2 linked regions of the Schizosaccharomyces pombe genome follow. The protein of the gene in region 2 purifies or fractionates together with the protein of the main gene of each other region. This does not show direct contact. Each region holds a gene or a part of one and is shown on either strand. Other genes may lie near its edges.

The links.
Region 1: the proteins of myo52 (region 2) and pkd2 purify together in Schizosaccharomyces pombe (affinity purification with western blotting, with the first as the bait; one study listed by BioGRID). This does not show direct contact.

What each region holds. Positions count from the first base shown.
Region 1 is NC_003424.3:4,217,982-4,223,487, reverse strand, and holds pkd2 (plasma membrane TRP-like calcium ion channel Pkd2), read right to left. Parts: upstream 3,738-5,506; 5' UTR 3,488-3,737; coding exon 1,355-3,487; 3' UTR 841-1,354; downstream 1-840. Other genes in the region: protein tam6, read left to right, coding at 595-840; ATP-dependent RNA helicase Has1, read left to right, coding at 4,334-5,506. UniProt on the Schizosaccharomyces pombe protein: Acts as a key signaling component in the regulation of cell shape and cell wall synthesis through interaction with GTPase Rho1.
Region 2 is NC_003421.2:2,224,375-2,231,894, reverse strand, and holds myo52 (myosin type V), read left to right. Parts: upstream 1-1,954; 5' UTR 1,955-2,163; coding exon 2,164-2,192; exon of another isoform or gene 2,193-2,251; coding exon 2,252-2,360; exon of another isoform or gene 2,361-2,369; intron 2,370-2,434; coding exon 2,435-6,847; 3' UTR 6,848-7,013; downstream 7,014-7,520. Other genes in the region: BAR adaptor protein Mug137, read right to left, coding at 33-42, 109-134. UniProt on the Schizosaccharomyces pombe protein: Involved in cell wall deposition where it has a role in the localization of mok1.

The sequences.
Region 1 (5,506 bases), on a different chromosome or scaffold from region 2:
AATATTACGATGCTCTTTCTTTCTATCGTCGTTTTGTTTGCTCTCTTATTTCTCGAGATCAATAAAATCCTACTTTAATTTTACTAAAATTATATCGCCCAAAAAAATATTGATCCGGTAGCAGATCTACAAATATACAAAAATGAAATGTAACTTTAGCCTCTTTTATTCTTCTTCATAGTTAAAATAAAACAGACGGTTTCAGTAGATCTATAACTTAGCTCTTAACTCACTACTTTGTCTCTTTTAACTTTTGCCATTGATTCATTTCAGTACTGGAGAACATAAGACCAATATATTAAACAGTTTGAACAGCGCGCCCTATAGATTTCCCACAAATTGAAAGAGAAAAAAGTCCTGAGTCGTTATTATTGAACATCTATCAAATTGGATACCGTATTATTGATCGCTGACATTTCATTTTGTAGTTGACAAGAAAAGAAAAAGCGGGTTGAGTAAACTTTACCTTTTAGTGCTTTAATCTTGTTTATAAAGTGAAAGTGGTTGAAAGCTGTGTGGCCTCTTAATTATACACATATATATTTACGCGGTTACTTTTTTTTTATAGTTTATAAATTAAACTGATAGCTTTCGATGATGCCATCATCAAGTTTCCAACAAACTCCCAAACCCGTCGATTTAGACGATCCAAGGTTTGAACAGTACGATTGCTTGCCATGCCGCTTGGTGGGCGCAGGCGCTTTCACAGGTCTAGGAATATATGCCTATTCGCAATCTAGAATTCCTTTGAATACACCCAATTACAAGCTTAAACGATTCGGTATTTTGGGAATGGCTTATGGATTTATTCTTACCGGTGTCTATAGATTGTTTCAATAAAATGTTAATAAACGTCGTTTTCTATTATCAGTTATCTTAAGACGTGAAGAAGTAACTTGAATCAGAAGTAAATGTTTTTTACTAAATTGCATTTTAATCAAACGGGTGAAGTTTTTTTGCTTTCTGATGCACATCCAACAAATATGCTTAAATGGTAACTAAACCTATACACTATAACAATTATGGAATAAAAGAAAAGAAGCAGAAATGAAGGGAAAATTCTGAAATATAATTAAAAAAAGAACCATAAATAAAAAAAAGGATGCGAATACACTAAATAGTTGACTTTTGTCTAAAAATAAGATTTAGACATTGATTGCTTATTGAACCTCCTCGTCGAGTTCATTGTAAGAATGCTTGTGTGAATTGTTTTAAAGGTCTTTTACCCCAAACTTTGTAGAAAATTATAGTTTAAAAAAATCTCAGAGACAACAATTGTATAATAATGAAAGAATGTGTAAGGTAGATGGAATGTAATATATATGTAATACGACACAACATTTTCCATCCACGTTTAACGAAAAGCATTGTTAGGTAATGGTTTGCGTCGACGTTCAGCGTTGTTATTATTTTCAGAGATGCGGGTATAATCTGATTCCATAAATGGTTGTTCGACGTCAGTATTTCCACGAAGGTTGGCATACGAAGCTTCTTCGATAGCGTCCCAAGGGGAAACATATTTGTTATTTGTGAACGTACTGTCTGAATCATTACGATTCGAAAACGGATATTCTGGTGTATTAAGGTCAACGGAGCTTCTCAACGTAGTTCCAGAGTAAGCCGGATCAGAGAAGGCCATGTCGGAAGAGCTCATATCCTTAATAGATTTGTTATACGAGGTAGCCTTCTCGCTTTGGTCATCGAGGATACGGTAATAAGTACCATGTCCTGATTTACGGAACAGGACGATAAGTGTACGTATAAATATACCCAGGATCAAAAGAAGCATTGTAATAGCGTTCAATGCAAAAAATATAATGCCAATAACTTGACGAGCTAATTCCTCCACATAAAAAGCTTGACACATCACTAAAATAAAAGAACCACTTATCAAATTCATTAAAGCAACACCGATATGCAAAGTATTCATGTGTTTAGTGGCATAAGGTCGGAGAATCACCATAAGAGCAAAAACGACAACGCTAATACCAAACATGGCACAGCCCTGGACTTTGGGTGAGCCCTGACCAAAACCGATGAACATTGAGCGTACCAAGGTTATAAGCAACAGTGGGAAAGTAAAGTAAAAGAAACGGACGTCTAATTGCACGTACATAAAGCCCCAACGCATCAAGTGTTGAGTGTCAGAATATAGGTTGTACAAGACGTCAGGATGGGAATAAGGTCCTGTTTTGCGGATAATTTGAATTGTCCGCACAAATGCATAGCAGAGCAAAACTGCCATGTCCACAATCACGTACATTGATAAAAATGCCAAAGCGGAAGAATCACGAGTATAGATTTCCCACATGGACAAAACACTCATTTGAGTGAATCCGACAAAAATCACACGATAGAAAAATCCTTTGGATATAGATTTCCAATAAAGACGGATACGTTGCTTTTTCAAAGCTTGATTTCTGGATGCAAGGAGCACCATTTCAACAATAAATCTAGAAGCCATAGCAACTAGTAATGAAAAGAACAACAATATAATAAAAAAGGAAAACCCAGTAGCAAAGAAATTCGTCGTTTCAATCCCCATCATATATGAAATACGCTTGATTCCCCTCAGGGTAATAGAATCACTTGTGCTAGTGGTGACAGTAGTAGTTGCACGCTTGGCGAGAGAGCCCAAATCAATACCACGTTTTGCGAGGGCGACATTAGCATGTATACCCAAATCTACAAGAGTAGATGGCGTGCCGCCAGTTGATTTAACGTACCATGTAAAAACATCTTGCATGAAGCCAATCCTGATAATACCCATCGACCACATGAAATTACGGCCCCAACTGTAAATGATAGCAGGAAGAGAAGTAGCCATCATGGAATACAAAGCCTGGATTTGAGCAAACTGAAATAAGGTAATCATCGTTTCAACGATTTCCCAAAGTGCGGGTGTTTGAAGAACAGGGGATATCAGTAAGAAAATTAAAAGTGGGATACCGATTACCATACACATAACCCAGTAAACAGCTCTGTGGTAAACAGAACGACCATTTTGCACTGTAGTACGAACACAAGCTAATTGTGTGTTTGTATCTGATTCATAAATATTAATAGTCACAACAGCATCTAAATCCGGAACTGTGTATGCAATGGAGGGAATACTATCAAGAATAGAAAGAGCCTCTCCGGTTAAAGTATGACTACCAGATAAAGCAATATTTCCAGTCTGCATTGGACAGAAGCCAGAAATTTCCATATCGCAAGGATCTATCACCTTCTTTATTTCGATTCCGTATGCACTAATGTCGACGTCTATACTGACATTCGTAGAAACAAGAGATTGTATCGAGATATCAAAGGCAACAGATTGATTGTCCGGAAAATACGAGGCATAGAGCTTACTTGCTGATAACTGTGAATCAGTCATACATGTGGACAGAGAGTCGGCGGAAATGAATCTGGTTAAAGCATCAGCCCATGAAAATAGCTCGACGACCACAACTAAGAGTAAAAGTGGGCTTCTCCAAAGCCTCATTTTGCAGTTGATGGTAGTGAGAAACAGTTGATTAATGGAAAAACAGGAAGGTGAAGTCAAAAGATGATATTAATGAATAGAAAAGACAGACTGTGAATTCCAATGTAACTGAGTCTCAAATGTAGCTAAAATTCTCCACAACCAGTTATTATTATTCTTAAATTAAGTTAGATTTGAAAACTTATTAATTCCAATTAAATCGAGGGATATATAACAATGGGAATGATTAACAAAAATATAGTTTGCTCTGGGTGGCTGTATTATCATCAAAGATTCTCAACCCGTTCAAGACAAGTGATGACTAGAGACAAATCCCGGTACCTGTTACCTTAGATCACAGCCATTTAACATGGAAAACTACCAGCACACTAACCAGTAAATAACTGGTAATTGAGGATTTAATAGTACGATAGACCTTTCTTTTTTTTTTATAAGATAATTTTTATATTCTACAGTGTCAATTGACGCTTAATCAACTCGTAACGTATTAACAAAAGTCATTTTAGCAAAACTTCTTTCATAAAGAAATTCACCACAGCTACTTTAAAATATCATAATGTAAAACTAAGCCTAATGTGACATAGTACGCAGTATAGATAGCGAAATGTTTATTAAAAGACACTAACTTTAGATTAGGAATTTCAATCGAATTTGAACACTATAATTGTTTAACATTTGAAAGTTGAATGAAAAGAATATCGTTAAATATTGCTATTTACTTTGCTGCATAGATTTGACACGTTGCGTTACGGCGGTATACATTTCGCAGTTTTCCACTTTTCCATTTTTCATACAAGCATTTTGCAAATTCCCAAACTCATTAGTAGTCTGCATTCGTTGTACAAGATGGCTAAATCCGAGTTAAAGCGGAAAAAGCATCAATCGGGTAATGAGGAAGTAAAAGAAAAACGTCAAAAACCTTTAAAAAACGATAAAAAAATTGCTGAAGAACTTCCTCAAGACGAAGACGATTACGAGCAGGAAGAGGAAAATGAAGATGCTGACCAAAATACTTCAGTAGAATCAGAAAGTGAGGAATTAGATAATGAAAATGAAGATGAGCGTGTTCAAAAATCTGTCAACCTGAACGCTTCTTCCACTTCGGATATTGAAAAGTTTTCAGACCTACAACTCTCTGAAAACATCCAAAAGGCAATTAAAGAAATGGGCTTTGAAACGATGACAGAAATTCAAAAGCGCTCTATTCCTCCTCTTTTGGCCGGTCGTGATGTTTTAGGTGCAGCTAAAACTGGTAGTGGTAAAACTTTGGCTTTTCTAATTCCTACCATTGAAATGCTTTATGCATTGAAATTTAAGCCTCGTAATGGTACTGGTGTTATTATTATATCTCCTACTCGTGAATTGGCTCTTCAAATTTTTGGTGTCGCAAAGGAGTTGTTGAAATACCATCACCAAACATTTGGTATCGTCATTGGCGGTGCTAATCGCCGTGCTGAAGCTGATAAATTGGTGAAAGGTGTTAACCTATTAGTTGCTACTCCTGGTCGTTTACTGGATCACTTGCAAAATACCAAAGGATTTGTATTCCGCAATTTACGATCCTTAGTGATTGACGAAGCCGACAGAATTTTGGAGATTGGTTTTGAGGACGAAATGAGACAAATCATGAAAATCCTTCCCTCGGAAAATCGACAAACCCTCCTGTTTTCTGCTACACAGACAACTAAAGTTGAAGATCTTGCTCGTATCTCTCTTAAGCCCGGACCCTTGTATGTTAACGTTGATTCTGGTAAGCCTACCTCTACCGTTGAAGGATTGGAGCAAGGTTATGTTGTAGTTGATTCTGACAAACGGTTTCTTCTTTTATTTTCCTTCTTAAAACGCAATTTGAAGAAAAAAGTTATTGTTTTCATGTCATCTTGTGCTTCTGTCAAATATATGGCAGAATTACTGAACTATATAGATTTACCAGTACTTGATCTTCATGGCAAGCAAAAGCAACAGCGTCGTACAAACACCTTTTTTGAATTCTGCAATGCCGAAAAGGGAATACTACTT
Region 2 (7,520 bases):
CAGTTTCACTCGCCATGGAAAGGTATACTCACTTTTTCGTTTCTAAAAAAAAGGGGTCAATAATCTTCATAATCTGCGTAACCTTTCTCCTTCTTAATATTTCCTTACGTCCAAGAAAAAAATCTAGACACCATTTTGATGGTTCATCGACCATACGCATGCGTTGTGCTCAAAAGTCTTTACAATTAAGCATAAACGATACTTATAGAAAAGATAATTTACTTCTTTGCTTACTAAATCACTTCAGCCGTGTGTGTTAAAGGATCAATATCTCTACCGAGAAGGTTCTTATATAAGCGATGTTTGTTTGTTTGTTTACCCAAAATTTTGGAAGCGGAGGGGATGCGTTTATTATGATGTTGAACGTAATGAAATACATATTTTTTTTTCTTAAGTGTGTTAAAAATAATTGATTTGAGGGAAGCTGTTGTTACGTCGAAGGTTTATCATTTTTTTGTTTGTAATTGAGACGTTCTAAAAGTATTGAGTAACTTGATTCCTTATAAATTTTATTAACTAAGTTACCTTATTTGGTTTTTCATAATTAGTTTGGCCTAAAAATATGTAAATGCATTTATAATTCTTCTTTTCTCTTTTGGGTTTATGCTGCAGACTATACATTTTCCAAAACATCTTCTCATCTCGAAGAAACATGTCTTTTATAGACTTTTTACTTTTGTAATTCTTTTTTAATCGAAATCATAGCCCAATTAATTAATATTTAGTATTGATGCTCCATTTTGAGAGTAATCATCTTCTGAGTTTCTTTGAAGAGAAAACAGAAACATATACTATCTAAATCGAATTTGTCTTTGAGTCAAAGCGTTAGATTATTAGTTGCTTTTTTTATGAAAATATCCCTGTTTCCAAACGGTTTTAGTAAATCATTCTCGTACAAGAATATATAACGAGAGCACGAAATTATCTATCAAAACGAAAGAATTATGATATATATAATATTCTGTTTTTTTTATCTGATGTTTTACTGTTAGAAATCCATTGTGTTGCTCAAACCGTTGATTTTGAATGGTATTATTTACATGTTTGTACCATCTTACCTCCTCTTTTACTAGTAATTCTAAGCCGCACTAGTTTGCCTTATTTAGCATACTGTTTTCTGATAAAAATCGTAGCTAGCTCGGTATTAGTTATTAATATCAGCAATGCAGTTCGATAATATGCCAGTAAAACTGCACTACGCTATCATACATTACGTCGAGTGTCACTATATGTCACATGTTCTACTTGTCATCGTACCATAGATGATACGATATTGAAATTGATCTTAATGATGTTCGATAAAGATTCTTGCTATTAGAATACTATAAAAGATAGCTACTACTGAACTGAGGAAAGAGGTTCAGCAATAAGCTACATTTGTGATAGATAACAATATACCCTTTATATTATAATACCTATACTTGATTGTTACTTTTATAACCTATGTATTACAATATTATAGGTCGCAAGGAAAGCTCACCGCATTACTACGTATCGTTAAAATAATTACAAAATTGCATAGTAAACAGACAACTGTTTTTAAATACGATGAAGTAGTTGAGTTTCTATTGCAATTTTTTATAATCTTATGTATGTTTACTACGATTGGTAATAAATATTCTTACGCTCAACTTAACATTATTTAATATTATAATAACTTATATACTTGATAATTGAAATAACAATTATAGTAATTCTGAAGCAAAAAACTAACTCACTAGCCGTATTGAAATGTGAAATGTTAATTGTACTTTTCAACAAAGCCAACCTTGAAAGTTAAAAACATAATAAATAGTGATAGTTAACATATCATAACATAGCGTGATTTCTTAATGGTAAAAGTTTGATTCTTATTTGAGGTTTTATGAACTTTAGTGAAACCACTATGCGCTTTTATCAAATTGCATAATTCGCTTTTCATATTACTTTGTCTCAGCGAAGTCATCTCCATATTAACATCAGCAGAGAACGAGTATTTTCCATAAGTAAAGAAGAAAGTTTTGAAATAACGTAAACGCGTTAGTAAACTTTTTTTCTATTAGTTTTAGCATTTGCATATTGTTTTGCGACATTTTTTGAGCAAACATCTATTTTTGTGTGTAAACAAAACGCTGTGTTTAGTTTAAATTAGGCGTTCGGGGAGTCTTGTAATTTCTACCGGTCATGACATCGGGGATTTATTACAAGGGACTGTAAGTTTATTAGAATCGTCTTTAAAGGATCCTGCTAATGTTGTTGTTGCGAAATGTAGTCAATGCTGGATTCCAGATGAGCAAAGCCAATGGATCCCTGGAAGCATAAAGGATTGTCGAGTTGAAGGTGAGAAAGCTTTCTTAACGGTACAAGATGAAAACGAAAACGTACGAAAATTATTATTTTCTTTGGTATCCCTTTTGGGTCAATTGAGATTAATTAGCTAATGTGATCTTGTTAGGAAACTGTTATTACAGTGAAGCCAGACGATTTAAATTATGAAGGAAGAAACGGCCTCCCGTTTCTTCGATCCATTAACTCGGATGCTGATGACCTTACTGATCTTTCATACCTAAATGAGCCGTCAGTGTTGGATGCTTTGTCAACAAGGTACAACCAACTTCAAATTTATACGTATTCTGGCATTGTCCTTATCGCAGTAAATCCTTTTCAGAGACTGCCAAATTTGTACACTCACGAAATAGTACGTGCTTATTCGGAGAAATCTCGGGATGAGCTAGATCCCCATCTCTATGCTATTGCTGAAGATAGCTACAAGTGCATGAATCAAGAGCATAAAAATCAAACTATTATTATATCTGGTGAGTCAGGAGCAGGAAAAACTGTTTCCGCAAGATACATAATGCGGTATTTTGCTTCTGTGCAAGCACTTATTCAATCCACCGATTCCAATTTTCATGAAGCTCCACAATTAACTGCTGTCGAGAATGAGATACTTGCTACAAATCCGATTATGGAGGCTTTTGGTAATTCTAAAACTTCTAGAAATGACAATTCTTCTCGCTTTGGTAAATATATTCAAATTTTGTTCGACGGAAATGCTACAATCATTGGTGCTAAAATTCAAACTTATCTTTTAGAAAGATCAAGATTAGTATTTCAGCCTAATCAAGAAAGAAATTATCATATTTTCTATCAGATTTTAGCTGGTTCATCCTCGGAACAACTTGAAAAGTGGAAACTTGTTGAGAATTCTCAAGAATTTAATTATTTAAAACAGGGAAATTGTTCTACAATTGAGGGCGTCAATGATAAAGAGGAATTTAAAGCTACAGTTGATGCATTAAAAACAGTTGGCATTGATAATGATACATGTGAATGCATATTTAGCTTATTAGCTGCATTGCTGCATATCGGTAACATAGAGGTTAAGCATTCAAGGAATGATGCATACATTGATTCAAAAAACGAAAATCTGATAAACGCTACTTCATTGTTGGGCGTGGATCCTTCTTCATTGGTGAAATGGTTAACGAAGCGTAAAATAAAGATGGCCTCTGAAGGTATTTTGAAACCATTGAACGAATTTCAAGCTGTAGTAGCTAGAGACTCAGTAGCGAAATTCCTTTACGCTTCACTCTTCGACTGGCTGGTAGCTACTATTAATAAAGCCTTGATGTACTCAGCTGATAAATCGAACCAGACGGCTAAAAGTTTTATTGGTGTTCTAGATATTTATGGGTTCGAGCACTTTAAAAAAAATTCATTTGAACAGTTTTGCATCAATTATGCGAACGAAAAACTTCAACAGGAATTTTATCGCCATGTTTTCAAACTGGAACAGGAGGAGTATGCTGCTGAGGGACTTAACTGGTCCTATATTGATTATCAAGACAATCAGCAATGTATTAGCATGATTGAGAGTCGTTTAGGGATTCTTTCCCTTTTAGACGAAGAATGCCGAATGCCCACGAACAGCGATGAAAATTGGGTTAGTAAGTTGAACGATGCATTCTCCAAGCCAGAATTCAAAAATAGTTATCAGAAATCAAGGTTTGGTAACAAGGAGTTTACAATTAAGCATTATGCTCTTGACGTTGTTTACTGTGCCGAAGGATTTATTGATAAAAACCGTGATACAATATCCGATGAGTTGTTGGAGCTTTTTACAAATTCAGACGTTCCCTTTGTCAAGGATCTGGTTTTATTCCGTCTTGAACAAACTGCACCCCCAGCCGATACCAAAAAAATAAAAACCAAGCCAAAAAGTAATACTCTTGGTTCAATGTTTAAAAGCTCTTTGGTTAGTCTAATGAGTACCATCAACGAAACTAATGCTCATTATATTCGTTGTATCAAGCCAAATGAAGAGAAAGAAGCCTGGAAATTTGATAACCAAATGGTGGTTTCTCAGTTACGAGCATGCGGTGTTTTAGAAACTATAAAAATATCTTGTGCTGGTTTTCCCTCCCGTTGGACTTTTGATGAGTTTGTTTCTCGTTATTACATGTTGGTTCCCTCTGCCGTAAGAACTACGGAGTCTTTGACCTTTAGCAAGGCAATTTTAGAGAAACATGCTGATCCGACTAAATATCAAATTGGCAAAACTAAAATATTTTTTCGTTCAGGTGTGACGCCCCTTTTAGAGAGTGCGAGAGACAAAGCTTTGAAACATGCAGCACATCTTTTGTATGAAGCGTTTGCTGTTAATTACTATAGGACTCGTTTTCTTCTGTCTCGGAAGAGAGTCAGGAGCTTTCAAGCCGTTGCTCATGGTTTCTTATCTCGTCGCCATACGGAGTACGAATTACTTTCTTCCAATATTATTAAACTTCAGTCACTTTGGAGAACTGCATTAAAGAGAAAAGAATTCATACAAACGAAAAATTCTATACTTAAAGTGCAAAGTATAATTAGAGGCTTTTTATTAAGACAGACTTTAGAGGAAAAGACAAAGCATGATGCAACATTAATTATTCAAAGTCTTTGGTTAACATTTAAAGCCCATAAGCACTACAAAGAACTACAATATTATGCAGTTCGTATCCAGTCTCTTTGGAGGATGAAACTTGCAAAGCGACAATTGACAGAATTAAAAATTGAATCCACTAAAGCGAGTCACCTTAAGCAAGTATCTTACAGGCTTGAAAGCAGATTGTTTGAGATTTCAAAACAGTTGGACAACTCGGAGCAGGAAAATAACAAGTTCAGGGAAAGAATCGCTGAATTGGAGTCTCATCTGTCCAACTATGCTGAAGCAAAGTTAGCACAAGAAAGAGAACTTGAGCAAACTAGGGTACTTATATCGGATCAATCTCAAGATGGGGAATTAAAGGAGTTACTTGAAGAGAAAGAAAACGCTTTGATTATGATGGAAGAGGAGATGAGGCAAGTCAACGATGCGAATACCGAACTTTTAAGAGTAAATGCAACTTTGAAGTCGCAGCTTAAAAATTACGATATGATTATTGTTGAGCAAACCTCTCAGTTGAAAGAGAAAAACAGGATAATTGCTAGTCTGACAAAAGCCACTAAAATACTGAATTCGGCCTCTAGTATCGAACAGTCGCGCAATTCGGAAGAGAAATCACGTCGTGATAGTTCATTGATGGAAATGCGTACTCAAAAAGAGATGCTTGTGCTATTAATGAACGATGGCTTGAAGCACGATCTTGACAAACTCACAGAATATGCAGGTAGAACATTTACAACTCTTAAAACTCTATTACTAAAGGACAACGATGTTGAGGCTCAGAAACTTGATCATTTGTTTTTAGCAAAACTACTTTTTATAATAATATCACAAATGTGGAAATCAAATCTGTGTCAGGAAAGTGTTGCCTTGGTTGAGCGTTACTGTGTCCACACTTTAGAATACGTATTTCAAAAGACATCATCTGCTAATGAGAGACCTGACATCGGATTTTGGGTTGCAAATACACATGCGCTCTTGGCTTTTGTTTATACTAAGCAGCAGGCGTTTAAACATTCCTCGGCTTTCACTCTTTTATCCACCGAATCTCATGAATCAGTGCAAACCATTTTTGAGATGATTGAATCACATCTGTCAAAAATCTTTTTCGAATGGGTTAGGCAAGTCAATAATTTTTTAAAGCCATTGATTGTTCAGGCAATGATTATTACTGGTACAAATACGGATGCTGGAGATGAGAATCGAAAACTACGGATTAAATTTTTTGAGAAACCAAAATACAAAATCACCGATGTAATACATGTACTAAATAAGGTGCATGATTCTTGTCAGGCCTATAAAGTTAATTATGAAATATATAATGCATTGATTAGAAGCATATATCGATTCATTAATGTGGAGGCATTCAATTCACTTTTTATTGATGAACGTGGATCTTGGAAACGTGGTACCAATATTTCATACAATTATCATGTTCTTAAGGATTGGTGTCTAGAAAGTGGTGTTCCGGAAGCTTATTTGCAGCTCGAAGAGCTTTTACAAACCTCCAAGATACTACAATTTGTGAAAGATGATCCAAATTATGTGGCCAGGGTCCGCGACTTTTATGCTCTTAATTTTCTGCAAATAAAAACACTCTTACATCGTTATGACTATGCTGACTACGAGGCTCATGTACCGAAAAAAACTATGTCTGAATTGTCCAAAAATATTGTTGCTGAAGGCATCAATCAAAGGGAACAACTTACTTACGAAGTGTTGGATTATAGACTACAAGATAGTTTTGAGGAATCTCCATCTCTTGAAAAAATAAAGATACCAGATGATTGTAATGTTACCTATTTGCGTCGTATCATCGACCTTGCTAGTGCAGAAGAAAGTGTTGAGCAAGCTTTGATCACTGTAGGCAACGTAGCCGACAATGATGTACAGAACTCGAGCGACGAAGAAAATCAAGTACCAAATGGTATTAAAGTTTAATATCTAGTTATTTTTCAAGGTGCTCTGCCTACTTATTTATTCCCTAATTAGGGGTTTTACTTTCAAAATTTGGAGCTGGGCCTTAGTTTCCGTGGAAGTTTTAATCAAAACATCCTGATAATGACAATCTTTTACGAGTTTTATTTACTGCTAAATATAAATATCTATGAGTATTGTAGTCTATTCTACTTCCCCACTTTGTATAGTTACTTGGTAACTTAATTTATTCTTAAATATTTATTTCGCTTGCGGAGTACGCATTGGTTTCAGTCAAAAAATACCTACATCGAAATACTTTCCATAACTAGTTTGTCACCAAAGACTGAAAAGAAAGTATATTTATTAGATCATTTTTAATATAAAGGCTGCAAACTACTTAATAAAACACGTAAATTGAAGTACGAAGTCTCATGCAGCGTTAGCAAGAAGCTCTACTCTATAAGCGAGAATAGCTTAACAAATCCGAATGTGTTAAGAACAGACAAAAAGCAAAGCAATAAAAGCATTTTCAAAATCTATTTGACATAATAAAAATAAACACGATTACGGAAGTCCCTTAAGTGTTATAATGGTCTATAAAAAACTTGTATTGTAAATTTCTACAATAGGAAGCTTGGGTACCACAATGGATAGGACTATTAAACCGAAAGGCATATCAAAAATTTTATAACCA